Canis lupus familiaris: one gene and its partner. The protein of the gene in region 1 interacts with the protein of each later gene in a biochemical or structural test. Links are inferred from orthologs where the notes say so. Each region holds a gene or a part of one and is shown in the gene's direction. Other genes may lie near its edges. The genes, in order: RNF114 and XAF1.

The links.
Region 2: the proteins of RNF114 (region 1) and XAF1 form a complex in vitro, tested with the Homo sapiens proteins (2 studies listed by BioGRID). The link is inferred for Canis lupus familiaris from reciprocal best matches to the Homo sapiens genes RNF114 and XAF1.

The regions. Positions count from the first base shown.
Region 1 is NC_049245.1:37,095,028-37,098,845, forward strand, and holds part of RNF114 (E3 ubiquitin-protein ligase RNF114), read left to right. Parts: intron 1-848; coding exon 849-955; intron 956-1,317; coding exon 1,318-1,432; intron 1,433-3,818. UniProt on the Homo sapiens protein: E3 ubiquitin-protein ligase that promotes the ubiquitination of various substrates. In turn, participates in the regulation of many biological processes including cell cycle, apoptosis, osteoclastogenesis as well as innate or adaptive immunity.
Region 2 is NC_049226.1:30,826,626-30,830,196, reverse strand, and holds the end of XAF1 (XIAP-associated factor 1), read left to right. Parts: intron 1-985; exon of another isoform or gene 986-1,313; intron 1,314-1,700; exon of another isoform or gene 1,701-1,919; intron 1,920-2,566; exon of another isoform or gene 2,567-2,578; coding exon 2,579-2,992; 3' UTR 2,993-3,058; downstream 3,059-3,571. UniProt on the Homo sapiens protein: Seems to function as a negative regulator of members of the IAP (inhibitor of apoptosis protein) family. Inhibits anti-caspase activity of BIRC4. Induces cleavage and inactivation of BIRC4 independent of caspase activation.

The DNA.
Region 1 (3,818 bases):
ACTATACCTCCAAAAATGTCTTATCTTCCCTTTACCTCTTCTCTTTCTTCATTCCTTATACTTTTCCTTTGCTTTTAGAACACCTGCGATGAAGCACTCTCCTCTAGGTTTTCTTTCTCTTTCCATCTTGCAAGGACTAGATTTTATAGGGGAAATGGAATTCAGATTTCAGTTTTTTTTTAAGATCATTTATCACAATGTGGCATTCTGTAACTTTAATTAGAATTACTGGTGTTTATCTCTTTTATTTAAATGATTACTTTTTTTTTTTTTTTTTTTTACTGCTGCACATAATGAAATGTGTTCTTGGCTTACTATGAGGAGCTAGTTTATTTTTAAAAATTTTTTTTAAAGATTTTATTTATTCATTCATGAGAGAAAGAGAGAGAGAGAGAGGCAGAGACACAGGCAGAGGGAGAAGCAGGCTCCATGCAGGGAGCCCAACCTGGGACTCCATCCTGGGTCTCCAGGATCACACCCTGGGCTGAAGGCGGTGCTAAACCGCTAAGCCACCCGGACTGCCTAGAGGAGCAAGTTAGAATGCTGTGTGGAAAACTTTTAAACCTTCACTGCATTTGGAGTATGTGAGCAGAGAGCATACCTTGAATAAAAGCAAACCTCTAGGAGAGTTATTTTAGAGTGGAAGCAGATGTCCTGGGTTGGTTAAATAAGATTATCAGCCTTGGTATTAACAAAAAGCCTGCAACAAACTTGCTTTCAGCCCTGTCAGCATAGCCAGGAGTCTGGTGAGATTGTTTGCCAGAGTGGTTCAGGTCTGGTTTTCATTTTGACCTTGCTTTGGGACTGTGTTGGTACTGACTAACTTGTGGGCTCTGATTCTTCCTAAGTTCTTCCTATCCAAGATCCGGGCCCATGTGGCTACCTGTTCCAAATACCAGAATTACATCATGGAAGGTGTGAAGGCCACCACCAAGGATGCCTCCCTTCAGCCAAGGTAAATGACTCAAACACTCCTTTAGGTGGAGGTCATCTTTGCTATGAAGACAGTGGACACTTTGCATGTTGAAGGGTTTAGTTGTAGGAGTTTGGGGAAGTAGAGGTATAATTGTTATTCTGGCTACAGCTGATGTCAGTTTTTGTGTTAGGGGTGGGGTGGGGTGGGGGGTTGTGTGGAGGACTCTGATGCTCACTTCAAGTATTAGCTCTATTATTTTCAACATTTGATCTCATTCTGAAGTGATTGTCAGAATCCCTGTCATAACACATTGCACTTTGCTCCTTTTTTGGGGGAGTACAGTAGTCGAAATGTGGAAAAGTACTCAGGTTTCTTCTGTTTTCCTGCCTTTCATCTTCCAGGAATGTCCCCAATCGCTACACCTTTCCTTGCCCTTACTGTCCTGAGAAGAACTTTGATCAGGAAGGACTAGTGGAGCACTGCAAGTTATGCCACAGCACGGACACCAAGTCTGTGGTAAGATGACCTGGACTTTGTAAATTTTCTTTTATATACACTGATCTCCTGTGTATCCTTCACCTGGATTCACAGATGATAACATTTTACCATATTTGCTTCATGATACTCTATATGTACATATTTTTTGCAGTGATAAGTTGCAGTGATAAATTGCAGGTACTATGACTTTTTGCTCCTGTATACTTCAGCATGTATCTCCTAAGAGCAAGAACATTTTCTTAAAAAATCATGTAAAAAAAAAATCTTATTTTTTGTGTTTGTCACACTCAGGAAGTGTAACATTGACAGAATCTAATATTTAATACAGAATACGTGTTTAAATTTTAACAATTTTAGGGGGTGCCTGGCTGGCTCAGTCAGTATAGAATGTGACTCCTAATCTTGGACTCCTAATCGTGAGTTTGAGCCCTGCATTGGTCATAGAGATTACTTAAAAAAAAAAAAAAAGGGGGGGGGGCGTGGAATACCTTGAAATTTTAATATTGGAATATCCTTCATTGCAATATCTTCCCCCCAAATCCTGGATCTTTGTGTTATATGTAGTTGTCATGTCTCTATACCTCGGCCTTTCTTTTGTTTTTCTTTTCTTTTTTTTTTTTTTTTTAAATTTATGATAGTCACAGAGAGAGAGAATGAGAGAGGCAGAGACACAGGCAGAGGGAGAAGCAGGCTCCATGCACCGGGAGCCTGACGTGGGATTCGATCCTGGGTCTCCAGGATCGTGCCCTGGGCCAAAGGCAGGTGCCAAACCGCTGCGCCACCCAGGGATCCCTCCCTCGGCCTTTCTTCGCCATTCATTACTTTAACATAAAGAGGACAGGCCAGTTGTTTTGTCAGATGTCCTTCAATTTGGGTGTGTCTGATTCTTCATCATTAGAGGTGGAGAAGTTCCATGAGCGATGTGTGCTCCGGGTGCCACATCAGGGGTCATGGGATGTCTGTTGCCCCTGTCATTGGTTATGTTAACTTGGATCCCTTGGTGTCCACAAAGTTTGTCCTCTGCAAAGCTACCATTTCCCTAGTTTGTCTGTAGTTGTGGGGAAAGAGAATGTATGAAATGATTAAGAAAGTGCTTATCAGTCTTCTCAGTTTAAGTATCAAGACTGGCATGTGGTTTTGTTTTAATGTGGTCTATGTCTGCAGTATTACCCTTTCCTCTTTTTTTTTTTTTTTTTTTTCCCCAAGTAAGCCCTATGTTCATCATAGGGCTTAAACTGAACAACCCCAAGATCAAGAGTCACACACACCACTGACTAAGCCAGCCAGGCGCCCCCTTCCCTCTTAATGTCATTGACAGGCTAGATCTTGATACAACCTCCTCCATAGTTTTCAGTTTTTCCATTTATTTTAGGCTGCTCTCTTGACTGTATACCTAGATTTATAGGCAAACGTCAGCTCCCTTGGCTTAAAAGGTGGTGCATAGACTTTAGTATTTGCATGAGCTTTTGTTAATTGGATTAGGTCTGGTGGCATTCTTTATTTTTCTTTTGCTGCAAATTTTAAGATACAGGTGGCCTGTTTGAGAATACCCTAGATCTTCTCTTGACTTTATTGAACTCCTTACCAAGCCCACATTCCGGTTAATACAGCCACTTTTTACACTGAGCTCCCTGAGCTCTTACTGTTGTGCTGTGACAGATTTGACAGATAAATTCCCTCTGGTTTGCTTTTCCCAACTCCTCTCACTGGGGAACTTGGCCAGTTTAGCTCATTGTGGGTCATTTTCAGCCAGGCCCTATTGCTGCTAGGCACACACACTCTCTGATGGCTGTTCTGAGCACTGTTTGCATTAAATTCGGAGCATGAACTGTTCTCAACCTTTCCACAGGTAACACTAAATCCTGCTTTTAACTTACTTCGGAATATCAGGTGTGAATTCCTTTCTTCCTCCTTCTGTCTCCATTGCTCTCTGATCTACCTCTGAGGTTACAGACTGGCAGTCTGTGGGATACATCTGACCTGTACACATTTTAACTTCCTTTTTAATCTTTAAAAATCCGAAGATTTCTCAGTCTTGATGCTCTACATTTGAGAAACTGGGAGTTCAGGCAAGAGCCAGCTGGCCTAGAGTAGTTGCTGCCCACCTAGATGGGATGGGTTTATACTCATTCTCCTTTGCTCTTGTGTCTTACTAATCTGGTCACTGTGAGCACTTGAATTTGCAGCCCTTCTTCCTTGTCCTTATCATTCCATTTTGTACTCAGGAGAAGGATGCTTTCCAAGTCTGACTCTTACGTGTGTCCTCAGACCCATAGAGAGGACTGAACTTAGGGCCTAGCACAAAGTAAGACTTCCCTGCTCCTGTGGCTTGCCCTATCCTGTGTCTTCACTCCTCTCACCTCAGCTTTGCCCTCTACCGATGCCTCGCCCTTGTTTTCCTTAG
Region 2 (3,571 bases), on another chromosome or scaffold:
ACCCCCACGTGCACCAACCCCCTTACCTTTCTCTACTGTTTTCTAGGGCATTTATCAACTTTTTTTTTTCAAGATTTTATTTATTTGACAGAGAGAGAGCACAAGTAGGGGAGCAGCAGGCAGAGGGAGAGGGAGAAGCAGGCTCTCTGCTGAGCAGGGAGCCCAATGTGGGGCTCAACCCCAGGATCCCAGGATCATGACCTGAGCTGAAGCCAAATGCTTAACTGATTGAGCCCCCCAGGTGCTCCATCAACTTCTAACATATTATGTAATTTACTTACATATTGTGGCCCAGTTAAACAAATTCCACTACTCCCTTCAAGCTACTTTCTCATCCTATTACCTGTTTCTTCTGGTATTTATCTTCTATTTCTCGAGCACCTTCTTACACTGTTATTTTCTTTTCCAATTTTAGATATGATCTATTAATCCAAGAGGATTCAGGGATATGGATTTCTCTTTCTTACACCAGCTATCCTATGCATACCTGCTATCCTATACACACCTCCTTCTCTCTACCCGCCCATTGTGGTTAAAACCATATTCAACATTACGTTATTAGGATCATGTAAATATTGTAAATGTGCCACACAAATCATGATTACATGTACTTTCTTCTATAACTTTTGATTTTTCCCTGGAGTTAGTTATTGCTTCAGTTTTTCATTTGCTTCACTTTCTAGGTACCTGTCAGTAAGTCATTCCTAAAATTTTCTACTGGACCTGAAAAATTTCCCCTTGGTATAATCAAGCACAGTAGTATCCATTTCAGTTTGAGGGCATGATGCTCCCTAGATCTGATAAATAGCTGTCATTCTGGGATTTACCTCTACTCTCTCCAGTGTTGGGGTTCTCTTCCCAAATTCCAGGTTTAGGTCATCTCTTTCTTGTTCTACCCCTTCTTTGGGAGAGCATATCCTCAAATAGTTTAAGAAAGAAAGCACAGAGGGCAATTTTTAAAAAGATTTATTTGAGAGAGAGGGAGGGAAGGAGGGGCAGAGGGAGACGGAGAGAGAATCTGAAGCAGACACCCCACTGAGCATGGAGCCTGACACAGGGCTCAATGTCATTACCCTGAGATCATGACCTCAGCTGAAATCAAGAGCCAGATGTGTAACTGACAGCTACCCGGGCGCTCCTCTTTCCTGCAATCTTGAGCGGCCGTTGGGTTAACTTATTCCCTCTGGGCATGTGGAAGGCTGCCGCTCATCTCCCTCCTCTGCCGTCGCTGCTGACCAGTCCTCTCTCTGCATAACTGACACCCTGTGTAGACGTTCTTTTTCTTTGATTTCAGGATCCTCTTCGTCTTTGATCTGTAGTTACATGTCACTAAATGATTTATGTTTCACTCATCCCACTCAGAATAATGAACTGAAATCTCTCTCTCAGATTTCTGCCCAAATCTAAAGTTGTATGTCTTTAATCAAAGTTCTAGGAAATTATCATATATAATCTCCTTAAATACCTAATCCTCCCTCCCTCCCTCTCACACATTCTCCAGACTCTTCTATGGAACTTGTGGGATGTGATCTAAGCCTTTCTAGTTCACGTCTTTCACATTTTCTACTTTCCTCTCCTCTTCTGAGTAATCTCTTCAAATCTTCAAGTTTGCTCTTTCTTACCCAAATCCATCCTACTGGGTTTGGCCCATCTGGCAAGGCTCAACATCTGTATTTTTCACTTCTAGAAGTTCCACTTACCTTTCTTTCAGATTTGCCTATTCTCTTCACAGGATCTTATTCTTTTCTCTCATTTACATCCTTCCCGATTAGCTTAGTTTACAGCATCTCTGCCATAGTTCTGTTTTTCTGAAGTTTCTGGAGACTGGCTTTCCTACTATTGCTCGTGCTCATGCCTCTGACTCAAGGGTGACTGCTTCTTTGGGTGTAGGCCTAGGTCGCCATTTGGTGGGCCGCCACCTGTGAGCATGACCCAGTTTGAGGCTGTGTGTCCTCCAGAGGGATTTCGTGATTGCTTCTGCCAGACTTCCCAGTTTTCACGTTAATTTGTAAGGACTGGGTAGTTTCAGATCATGAGTCTAATGTAAACCTGAACCCCAAATACAAGAACGGCAGGGGCCTGTGATTTTGAGTTTTCAGGAAACGGAGTTTTTATTCCCTGTGCTCAGATCCCAGGGTAGACAAGCTGGCTTGTCCCTTTCCTTTTCAGGTGAGCTGGTGCTTTCCTATTGGCCATCAGTTTACCTACAGGTTCTGAGCTCTACACAGAGAGAGGGGAAGCTTACTTCCAACACCCCTTCCCCACTTTGTGTGGACGGGCTTATCTCTTATCCAAGCCCTGTTACCAAACTGACCCCACGTCTCCCCTCAAAGTGTCAGCAAGTACGTGTGCTTTAGAGCGTAGGCCTTCGTTCCAAGAACGTGGAGTCATATGGTTTCTTTCCTACAAAGTCAACTGTCAACTTAAATGAATGTTTGTCACATTTTATCCAGCATTTCTTAGTGTTTGTAGTGGGAGCTTTCAAGTCTTCTAGTTTGTTATGTTGTCCAACTATTAAAGCCAAAGTCATTTTTTAAAAAACTTTTTAATTTGCTACATTACTCACAATTAATTGCAGGATAAGCGTCATCTGGTCCCAGAGCTTGAGAAATGCTTTCCAGTTGGGAAGCCAGGAATACCTCCTGCTCCCCTCCCCAGTCACACCGCTCAAGAGCAGACCTCCAAGGCAGAAAAGGATGTCCGTCCGAAAATCAAAAAGAGAAACAGGTGTCCTCTTCCTTCTCAAAATTCAACAAAGCAAGCAGCAAGAGGTGCAAACAGAACCACGACCCTGCCTTTGCCTCTGAGGTTGGGGCACCACGACCCCAGGCTCACCTTCCCCGCAGAAGACGAGGCGGCCTATAGCACTCTGGGAGGGTGTTCTTGCTGTGGCATCCTGCTCCCCCAGCCCATCCTAAGTCAACACCAGGTACCCAGCCCTCTGTCCTCTGCTTCCCCATCAGCCTTCTGGACAGCGTGTCCAGAAACCTGAGACTCACAGGCACCTGCAGATGCTGCCACCAGGCCCTTCTCTCCGTCTCCCTCTTGTCCATGGGCCCAGGTGAACGCTCTCAGAGCACTAGCCGCTCAGCTTCTCTGCATACTTTCCCAGAGCCTGGGCCACCTTTTTTTTTTTTTTTTTTTTCTGGGCCACCTTTGAAGGCAGAGCTGGATCTATCTGTGTCTCCAGCTCCCAGGCCAGAGGCAGCACAGGGCATCCAGCATAGCTCCCTCATGGTACATAGAGCAACTGAGGCCCGGAGATCAGATGAGTCTTATTGAGATCCTGAGTTGGTGGCTCGCCTCCCACACACCAGGGTTTATAGCCATTTCCCTCAATATCCTAATTATTTTTACATCCTAAATTATTTTCTAGTAACAAGAACAACTGGCATTAGAGGTACTTAACCATCATCCATCAGCGAGAACAGGAAGCTCTTTACAAATGGTTATTCTTCATCATGAACAACGAGCAGGCATCTTATTCCTGTTGAGATGAGGAAACTAGAGAGAAGGAGCTGCCCCAGGGCGACACAATGGGAGGGTCGCAGAATCCAGCAGGGATGCCACC